Linked DNA regions of Rattus norvegicus. The protein of the gene in region 1 binds, or shares a complex with, the protein of each later gene. Links are inferred from orthologs where the notes say so. Each region holds a gene or a part of one and is shown in the gene's direction. Other genes may lie near its edges.

The links.
Region 2: Med25 (region 1) and Med20 share a complex: the UniProt entries of both Homo sapiens proteins name them as parts of the mediator complex. The link is inferred for Rattus norvegicus from reciprocal best matches to the Homo sapiens genes MED25 and MED20.
Region 3: Med25 (region 1) and Med13l share a complex: the UniProt entries of both Homo sapiens proteins name them as parts of the mediator complex. The link is inferred for Rattus norvegicus from reciprocal best matches to the Homo sapiens genes MED25 and MED13L.

Annotation. Positions count from the first base shown.
Region 1 is NC_086019.1:104,495,845-104,499,059, reverse strand, and holds the end of Med25 (mediator of RNA polymerase II transcription subunit 25), read left to right. Parts: intron 1-1,024; coding exon 1,025-1,290; 3' UTR 1,291-2,613; downstream 2,614-3,215. UniProt on the Homo sapiens protein: Component of the Mediator complex, a coactivator involved in the regulated transcription of nearly all RNA polymerase II-dependent genes.
Region 2 is NC_086027.1:20,867,069-20,870,052, reverse strand, and holds the end of Med20 (mediator of RNA polymerase II transcription subunit 20), read left to right. Parts: intron 1-944; coding exon 945-1,160; 3' UTR 1,161-2,372; downstream 2,373-2,984. UniProt on the Homo sapiens protein: Component of the Mediator complex, a coactivator involved in the regulated transcription of nearly all RNA polymerase II-dependent genes.
Region 3 is NC_086030.1:43,491,255-43,494,907, reverse strand, and holds part of Med13l (mediator of RNA polymerase II transcription subunit 13-like), read left to right. Parts: intron 1-530; coding exon 531-751; intron 752-1,020; coding exon 1,021-1,226; intron 1,227-3,653. UniProt on the Homo sapiens protein: Component of the Mediator complex, a coactivator involved in the regulated transcription of nearly all RNA polymerase II-dependent genes.

The DNA of each region.
Region 1 (3,215 bases):
CGAGACTTGGAGGCAGGTGGGCAGGTAGTGTACAGCTCACGTGCACTTAAGGGGTTATGGAGCCCAGAATGCCTCTGACCCAGCCAGGGTTCCGAGGAGCCTGGAAGGAGAAGCAGTAATTGGGAGCCAGAAGGGACCTAGGTGCAGATAGCCAAAGCCACAGAAAAGGGGCGTGCAGGGCCAGGAGGTGGACGCTCCTGGGATGAGCATTTCAGGAAGGAGCCGGAGCTGCAGAGTCCAGACTGGGAAGCTGGAGATTGGTCCTGGGGATGCAGGACTGCATAGACTGCCAGTAGGGCTGGGTGTCAGGAAGGTGCGATGGTTTGTAGGAGCAGGGCAAGCAAGAGGGAATGGGGGTGCCTAAGTGGCACGTGCCACACCAGGAAATCAGGATGTCCCCACGGGAATGTGTTCTGTGCTTGAGGCCGTAGCAGTCAGGGTTTCACAAACAGCAGGCACTGGGTTCCAGGTGCAGGTGTGGATAGGTTGGGTAGCTTCTGTCTTACGGTCTGCCCTCAGGCCTGTGTGCAGGTGTCCCCCCTGGAGAGTGAGTGAGAGGTTTGTCACACAGGCACATGTCGCTGAGTGTGGTCTGTGTCTGGACCACCACTGCCTGGGTGTGAGGCGCTAGTTAATGTGCAGGTGACTGACCCATCCCAGGAGAGAGGCTGCAATCTAGTGGCCCATGGGCCACCACAGATGGGTTTTGTTTGGCCTTCCCTGTGCTAGCATGGCACAGTCTTTTTACCCGTTAGCTGTAAAGCACCTATGACGTTCACACAGTCTGCAGTCTGCTCCTCTTGATGTGTCAGAAGACTGACACACCGGGCCCACCCTTCTGCCTGGCAGTAGTAGCCTTGTCAGTGGGGCTCATGCTCTCAGGTTCGCCACAGTCCCCACCACTCTTGCTCTTCCACGGTGAGGCAGGGGTCCTGCCTCAGTCACGGGGCTGGCACCATGGTGGTTCTGTGGTAGCATTCAGAGAAAAGTGAAATCTTTCTTGTACCCATGTCTCCTTCAAAAGTGGCCAAACGAAAGAGAGAAGGAGAGGGCCGCGTGTTTCGAGAAAAATGGGAGCGAGACTATTTCTTTGTGGAAGTGAAGAGCATGCCTACGTGCTTAATATGCAAAAAAAACGTGTCAGTGCTGAAAGAGTACAACCTGAAGCGCCACTATGAGTCCCAGCACAGCAGGAGCTACGGTCAGTACACAGCGCAGAGCCGCGACACACTCCTGCAGGAACTCAAGAGGGCCCTCCGAGCCAGCGAGGCTTTGGAGAGCCAGGAATAGCCATGCAGTGCAGTGGAGAAAAGAACTGTCATCAAGGCTGTCCTGTGAGTCTGACAAGCTTTTGCAGGCTGAAGCACACAGGAGTCAGAGGCCTTACGGATCCAGTTGCCTGAACCACAGCAGTGGCCTTTTGATGGCTGCACAGAAACTCTGAGCACATGGTTAGCTTTATTTATTTGTGGTGGTGGTGATCTCCATGCAACCGAGGTAGTCTGTGAGGTGGCGCCAAGCCAGCCCCTGACTTTGAAGTGGCTTGCTCTTGTGCATGCAGACATCAGATTCATAAGCACAGCTACAGTCCCCTCATGGTGGTCGGGCTGTCCGTTGTGGGGCTGTCCCATACCTCCGTCCCACTCATGGTGGTCGGGCTGTCCATCGTGGGGCTGTCCCATACCTCCATCCCAAGTGGCACTGTTTGCCAGGACCCAGCTCAGATCCTAGTCTCAGTAACCAGGAATTGAGATGCTCAAAGAAACACCATGACGCCTTGACTCGCATTCCTGTACTTGAACTGAGCCAGTTGCCTGAGACCAGGACATGCAGGGAATCTGAACTGGCCTGTTCAGTTCACTTCAGAGTGTGCCGAGCCGAGCCCTGGTTCCCTGGAGGGAACCTGGTTAGACACGTTTGGTTGAAGTTCCCACCCTTGTGAACACTGACTCTGTCTCAGAAGGACATTCACGAACAGCTCCTGAATGTATGACTGGGGTGTGATCCTGGCAGATGGATGCCTTTTCGAGCAATAGTGGGACTGCCTATCCTTGCTGCAGCTGGTTTCTGGAAATGAGAGGCGGCCAGGACCAGTTACCCACACTGTGAGACCCAAGACCAAGTTCCCCGAGGGCCATATTCTACTTGAACTTGAGCTAACACTGGCTAGCTCGCCTTACGATGATGTGAATGCAGACCCCAGTCCGAGTTGCAGTGCAACAGGGTGCATGCAGTTCTGCAAGATGGCGAGGATCCTTTACCTCTGTCCAGCAGTATCCTGAGTGTTTGGCTGCCCACACTTGTGACAGTCACTGTTTTCCGTTACTAAATCAAAAAACTCCGTTTTAAGGATTAAGGTTGAAATTTCACCTGCCCATCTCTCTGTCCCAACCAATGCCAGCACTGACACCTGGGTGTAGAAGGGCAGGTGTCAACCTTCCACTCAAAAGGCACAAGAGAATTACAAGAGAGAAATTTTAATAACTAAATATTTCTATTTTTCAATTTGTATTTTTTCAATTTTGAATTTAAAGTATGAACTCTAGTATCATACGTGTTTGTGTTGTATTCCGTGCGTTCACCATAGCTCAGTAAAGATCCAATTTGATTATCTTTCTGGCCGTGGGCTTTCCTTCTCCCTGACTAATCCACCCACTTGTGTGACAGCCTGGCCCCTGCTAGCGGGTTCACTTCTACCCCTGCCCTGGGGCCTGGCTGGGAGGGGCTAGGAGGCCTCTTATCCCATGAGGCCCCGCCCCTGGGTGATTCTCAGAAAGTAAAAGAGGACTAGGGCACCAGGTGCAGCTGAAGACGTGAAGGCAAGGTGATGTGGCCATGCAGCCAGTGTGTGCCCATGGCTCCAAGACACTGGGTGCTAGGGATTGTGGCGAACCTGGAGAGTGCGTCCCCCACCTGGTGGCCTTCAAACCAAAACTACCACACACACTGAGGACCAAACAAAATCTGCTGTGGGTCTCATGAGGCCATTAGGCCACCATTTTGCTACCTCTGGAAAGAGACTCTAGAACCAGGACACAGCCTCAATGGGAACCCATACATGAGTAGGCAGGGACGGGGGAGATGGTTGAGGCAGGCAGGTTTTCTGAAGAGGAACTAAGTCATCAACAAGAGGAGAGACATCATTTTGTATGTAGACCAGGCAGAAGTTCTAGGGAAATGTGGGTTTGTCCTCAAAACAAGTTAAGAATGGTTAT
Region 2 (2,984 bases), on another chromosome or scaffold:
TCCAGGAAGGGCTGAGGACACAGCTTTCTGAGGGATGTCTGAGGTGGGCTGTCAGTCATACAGTGCCCACCGTGCCCCACCTTAGTATGTTTTACAAGAGGCTTCCAGAGCTGTGGAACAAAACTGTATCTTTCCCTGTGGCATCTGTCCACTTTCATGATGGCCAAGAATGTGTGTATGAGATGCCTTCATCTAGTTTTTTTAGTCAAAAAAAAAAATTGACCATACTTATCGTGGGTGTAGGTGTGCATCTAGAGATTGGAGCAATCAGTTCTCTCTTCCTGCCATGTGGGTCCTGGGGATTGAACTCAGGCTATCGGGCTTGGTGGCAAGCATTTTTACTGGCTGATGGCCTTCAACACTGAACCTAAATATGTAGATGTTGAAAATGACATGGAGAGTATGGAAAGATAGCTTTAGAGTGAAAGTCCATAGCCTACCATGTGTCCAGCATTAACTGCGATTTTAGAAACAATAAAACAATTCTGAAAATGCATGGTTTTGGTAAGCAAGCAGAGCTGAAACACACACATGTGAAGTGAGTCCAGAAAGGCATGTGGCTTAGGGAACCAGGCTGAGTCTTGCTGACTGAAATGGTAACCTGTAAAGCAGTGGACAGACTAAGGAGGAAGGAGTCGGAGGCCGGGAGTGCTGGTACATGCTTACTGTCTCGGCACTTGGGAGACAGAGCCCGAGGACTGCGAGTCTGAAGCCAACTGCAGCTGCACAGTTAGATCCTGTCACAAAGTAACAACCAAACAAGAGAGTCTGGGAAGTGCCCAGGTAGAGAAAAGGAAGGACCCTCGTGTCAAGTTTCTTTTCAGGAGGCTCCCAGGCCAACACTGTCTAATTGTTTCACCAGTGACTGGACGGTTGCAGTTGCAGGAGGGAAGCTAGCTAGCCCATCCTTGTCCTTACCCTTGCTGTCTGTTCTCTTGTCCCAGGTGGAGTATGGCCCTTGTGTGGTAGCTAGTGACTGCTGGAGCCTCCTGCTTGAATTCCTACAGAGTTTTCTAGGTAGCCACACACCAGGGGCGCCCACAGTGTTTGGGAACAGACATGATGCGGTCTACGGGCCAGCAGATACCATGGTACAGTACATGGAGCTCTTCAACAAGGTCCGGAAACAGCAGCAAGTGCCTGTGGCTGGGATCCGCTAGTGACTGGCAGCTGCCGCCTGCTGAGCTGTCACCATGGCACTGTCAAGGACCACGTGCTGGACTTGGGTCCCAGCTGTAGCTTGTGTTCCAGGGCTTTGGACTCCCCTCCTGACCACATCACAGCTGTTCTTTACTTCATGCTTTAACTGGATTTGGCTGGTCCTCAAGAATGGTAATTGTGAAGAATGGAAAGGCTTGGGCCTTTCCTCCTGTAGGCAAAAGGTAGGACAGGGTTGTGCCCACCAGTGCTAGAGCTGTGTGTCCCCAGGTGCTGAGCATTTCGAATAGGCTGTATGCCTGTGCTGCTTTCGCTTGAGGATGTGGCTGGCAGGACGGGATTGTTGGCTGCGAGAGTGTTGCTTTCATTCTTTGGACACTGATGTCTTCCCCTACTGTTTTGAATTATGTGAACCTGCAGGCCAAGTTGCTGTAGCAGAACCAAAAGCAGAGGGCTCTTACTGCACAGCTTATTTTTCGTTAATAGTTCAGAGGCATTCAGTTCCACAGAACAGAATGAACTCCACAGGGTTACCAGGAACTTGGCTTCTTATGTCTTACTGTTCCTTCTATCATACTGTCCCCAGAATGCTTTCCTCACCACAGGATCAAAGCACGCTCAGTATCTCCGTGCCCACAGTCTGCTGAGGAAAGAGATAGGGATGTTTTTCAAAGTTGATTAGATCACTGTGGACACACATTCCTGACACTCAACACTCAGTTTTCTCAGGGGGCTTCCTAGTTTGCCGTCTTGGCTGGCTTGAGCCTTGAACTCACTGACATTGCTCACCTGCCTCACACCTGTTACAGAAACATTTAACACGTAGACAGGCTTGGGAAAGCTGTTCATATACAAAGTGTAGGGTGGCAGTGTTTGTGCAGCAGCTCTGAGGAGGTGGGTCATTCTTGTGTCCTAGCTTTGGTGGGCAGGACAGCTCATCACACCTTCCTGGTTATCCTGTTACTTCCTCTTGCTTTTGTTGTTACTCTTTTATTGTTGCTGTGTAAAAACTGAGGTGTTTTAGATACCACAATAAAATTGACAAACACTACAGTTTCGGCCTTCTGTTCTGTGTTTGGTCTTGTTGCAGGCTGTCTACTTTGTACTTTGTACTGGTCGCTTGAAAACACAGATGTTAAGTGTGGTAAATATGGACTCTCAGTTCCTACATAAGAAGGGATCAGTTTCTAAAAAATAAAGAGAAGCACAAACAATCTTGCATCTTGGTAATTGAAGTTGCCTTGCTTCCATTCCCACATTTTTGATTTTTTTTTTCCCTTTTTTTCAGAGCTGGGGACCGAACCCAGGGCCTTGTGCTTGTTAGGCAAGCGCTCTACCACTGAGCTAAATCCCCAACCCCATTCTTGATTTAAAAAAAAAAAAAGATTTTGTTTTTAATGGCACGCATGGCGGGAATGGGGGGGGGGGGTTTGTTCTTGAGTTTGCAGTACCCTTGGAGGCCAGAAGAGGGCATCAACTCCTCTGGATATGGTGTCTCAGGCAGATTTGGATATTGGGAATGGAATCAGGTCTTCTGCAAGAGCAAAAACATTCTTAACTACTGAGCTGTCTTTTCAGTCCCTTCATTTTTGCTCTTTTCCATTTGAGCTCACAGTTGGCTTTAAACATGAGATGTAGCCTGAAGAATGACCACTTGGGTACTTTGCTTGGTCCTTGTCATGAGTGGAAATGCAGCACTGAAAGAAGCTTGCTAAGCAAAAGACCTAATAATAACGGAGCAGGTGATGGCTCTGCCAGCAGAGGCACCAGAACTGAACTGTGACTAGTGAGAAGGCCAGTGTGTCATCCAGCTTTCACATGCAAGT
Region 3 (3,653 bases), on another chromosome or scaffold:
GTGCACAGGCTTGCTAAACACTGACTGTAAACTATTTTCTGGCCACTGTGTGCCCTGCCCTGTTGACAAAGCCCTTAGAGTCTGGGTACTATTATTACTTAACTCTAAAATTGTATGGCTAGAAAGACAGTGTGAGATCATTCCCCAAAGAGCAGGACTGTGTGATTCAGTCACCCACCCCCCAGGCTTGCTCTAAATAATTTTTATTCTCTTACTATTTCATAAACGTCTGGAGATGGAGATAGACTTTCATAAGTAGTGTAGTTGGAGAGCTTTCACTTTCTTCTCCACCCGTCTCCTTCAGGTCTTAGAGTCAACTATGGGAAGGAAAGCATGCTCTGCAGACCCTGGTGACTGAATTAGCATGACACCATACAGCATGAAGAGGGGGTCCCAGGGACGTGTGGACGCCTGAGCGTGACCTGTGTCTTGAAAGTCCGTTAGCCTTGTGTGGATACTGCTGTGCCTGGCTGCTTGTCAGAGCTTTTCGGAATCTTGCTGTTAAGATGCACTTTTAATTTTGTTTTTAGCAGTTGCAGACTTGCAAAGGATGTTCCCCACCCCTCCATCATTGGAACAGCATCCTGCATTTTCCCCGGTGATGAATTACAAAGATGGAGTGAGTTCAGAGACAGTGACTGCATTGGGCATGCTGGAGAGCCCTGTGGTCAGTATGGTCCCCACACACCTCACGGAGTTCCGGATGGAAGTGGAAGATGGCTTAGGAAGTCCCAAGCCAGAGGACATAAAGGTAATGACCAGTGTGTGCGCTTCCCCATGGCTGGGCGGCTTCTCGGTGGCGCCCACACACGCGTGTGTAAGGGCTGTTGAAGCCGGAGCCCGTCAGTAGACGGACACTGACCGCTGCTCACCAGCAGTGAGGGCATTAGGTTTTCCCTCTCACTCCGTCATGTAGAGAGCTGTTTCTACAGCAGATTCTGTGCCCGGGTTTTAGGAAGCGCTGAGCACCCAGGGCTGGCTTCGGCGTGCCAGCATTAACCCAGCCCCTCATTGTCACAGGACTTTTCCTACGTGCACAGAGTGCCGCAGTTCCAGCCTTTCGTGGGCTCTTCTATGTTTGCTCCACTGAAGACGCTGCCAAGCCATTGCCTGCTGCCTCTGAAGACACCGGATGCCTGTCTGTTCCGGCCCTCATGGGCGGTTCCTCCGAAAATGGAGCAGCTGCCCATGCCCCCTGCAGCCTCTTCCATTAGAGACGGCTACAAGTACGTGCGCAGCTCTACCACTTACCGCATGCGATGCAACCATGCTGGTTTCCAAGTGCTCGTCACAGGGCCACGGCAGCTCAGGCTCAGACTGGTTTCTTGCTTACTCTCGTTTGTGACCATGTTGTCTTTTGCAGGACCGTGTGTTTATTTTTAAATGAGATTTCCTCTGTGCGTGAGCGCGTGTGTCTCTCTGTGCATGAGCGTGTGTGTAGACAAATTAAGATTATTTCAGAGAGCTGTGTGTAAGTGTAATGTGGCGTTTGCCGTAGAACCTACCTCCGATTGGAGTTGCTGATGGTTGTCAGTAGTGGGAGGAGCTTTGGTTTGTGTAAGGTAATGATTTCAGCGTGGGACTTTAAAGTTAGGTAATACAGTAACAGATTGAGGCGTGATTGGGAAAAGTAAAGGGAGAAATTGCTGGTGACTTGGTGTCTCGTCTGCCCAGAGAAACAATATTTGTATCAGCAGTGCAAACTCTGTTTTCTTTGAAAGAAAGAACTTCTTCCTCAGATAAAGCAAAAATTTACAAACACAAATGTGTGTCCGGGCCATGTGCATGTGTGGATGGACCAGCGCTTTGCCAGTCTCACTGCAGGGATTGTGGAGATGAGTGGGCTCCAGCACTTGCCCCTTCTCAGGGACCGTTGTCAGGCAGGGAGACTGACTGTATGTTGGCCCATCTGAGCCAGCAGCGAACTCAAAGATGATGAGCCTTAGGAGCGAGTAAACCAGTTCTGCCTCAGGGCTCATTCTGGCCATGTGTCTGTGATAGACACCAGCAGTTTACATGGTGTCAGCTTGAGGAGCTGGGTGGGAAGGGGCAGAAGGACCCTGGACTTGGAAGCCAGCACCTATGCCATGTGACAGTTCTGCCTCCTGAAAAGACTGTGGGCTTGAAGGACCCTGGCCCTGGATATTCCGCTCCTTCCAGTAGATTATTCTCCCCAGAGCTGTGGGAATGTTCCAGCAGCCAATGACTGCAGACCGCAGTGGGGAAGGGAAAGGACTGCCAGGCCGGCTGCCCTGGGAGTGCCTGGCCGGGCTCTGCCAAGCTCTATTTGGGCTCTAGCTGCTGAGCGAGGTCCTGGAGCCTCAGCCCCAGACTCTCTGGACAGGTTCTGATAGTCTTCACTCTCTGAGTGGCCACTCCCACCCATCCATCGCCTTCCCCCTATACCCTCTGCAGCCAGAGGTTAGACTGGCGGCCTGGTGGAGCCTGTGCTAAGGGAAGAGATTTTGCTCACACTGTCTGATGTGGCTGTGGCCAGTGTTGGCTCCTTATCATGTGGCTAGTGGGTTCTTAGCTCTGCTTCCCTTAAAACTAGCCCTGGGGTCTGGGAACTGCTTTACCAGGTGGCACAGCTTGGCACTGCCAGGTCCTGCTGTGCTCTCCAGTGCCACTGCACTGGGCTTGCCTGTCATGCTTGGTATACTTGCTGATGCTTGCTTCTGTCTCTCTGCTGACTGCCCCACTTTTCACTCAGGATTGGTTTCCAGTTCCTTCTTAGGAAACAGGGAAGAATGAGGCTGCTAAGTAAGATGAACTGTTTTCTACCTAGGGAACAAGTGAAGTATTTAGATTTTCAGCTAGCAATCATGGTTCTGTTTTAATCCACTGTAAAATCATTTTAGGATCTTGTTGACCAGCAAAATTTAAAGGAATCCAATAAATGTACAGATAGTTATTTATTGCACCATTCAGTTTCTCTGTCAGCTTTTGTCTGAACCCAAGAAATCCTTGTAAGTCAAAGTTTATGTAATTACTGCCTGGTTCAGATACCTGAGCCAATGGTACAAGTTCTAAAAGACTGCAGGGCGATGGCTTGTGGAAGTAAATGGGTGTGAAGCTCACTGAGGAGCACAGGCTTCATGTGTCGAGTCATTAGGACTGAAGTCCTTGCGAGTGCACATAGTGAGCTTGAGCCTGTGCGCTGTCTACAGGCCTGTGGGAGTTGTTGAGGGTGTGCTTCAGGGCAGCTTTAGAGTGGCAGGGCATGCACATGCTGCAGACGTGATCTCCCCAAGCCACTGCTCATGAGATAAACAGCCCTGTCTGTCTCAGAACTGAGAGAGATTGAAGGAAGAAGGGGACCCTCAGGGACCTCTTGGTGTGTCCTTCCCAGTGACTGCTGAGTGACAGACACTAAGCCCTGTGCTAGACAGACAGATGGGCACAGCAGTCACACAGTGCTGGGGACACTCACGCCTTACCAGGGCTACCATCTGACTTAGGAAAGCACCACATTTGAATGTGGATTTGGTTACAGCCACTTCAGTATCATTGCAGAGTTGTGGCCTCTAGGAAAAGTGCACAGGCAGAGACGCAAAGCCGTAGCTGTAGAGTGGACGCAAACCCAGCCTGCACTGTCTGGGCTGCACTCTGAGCACCATTAGTCCTCAGCAGCTCCCCAGCAGGCCAGGGTG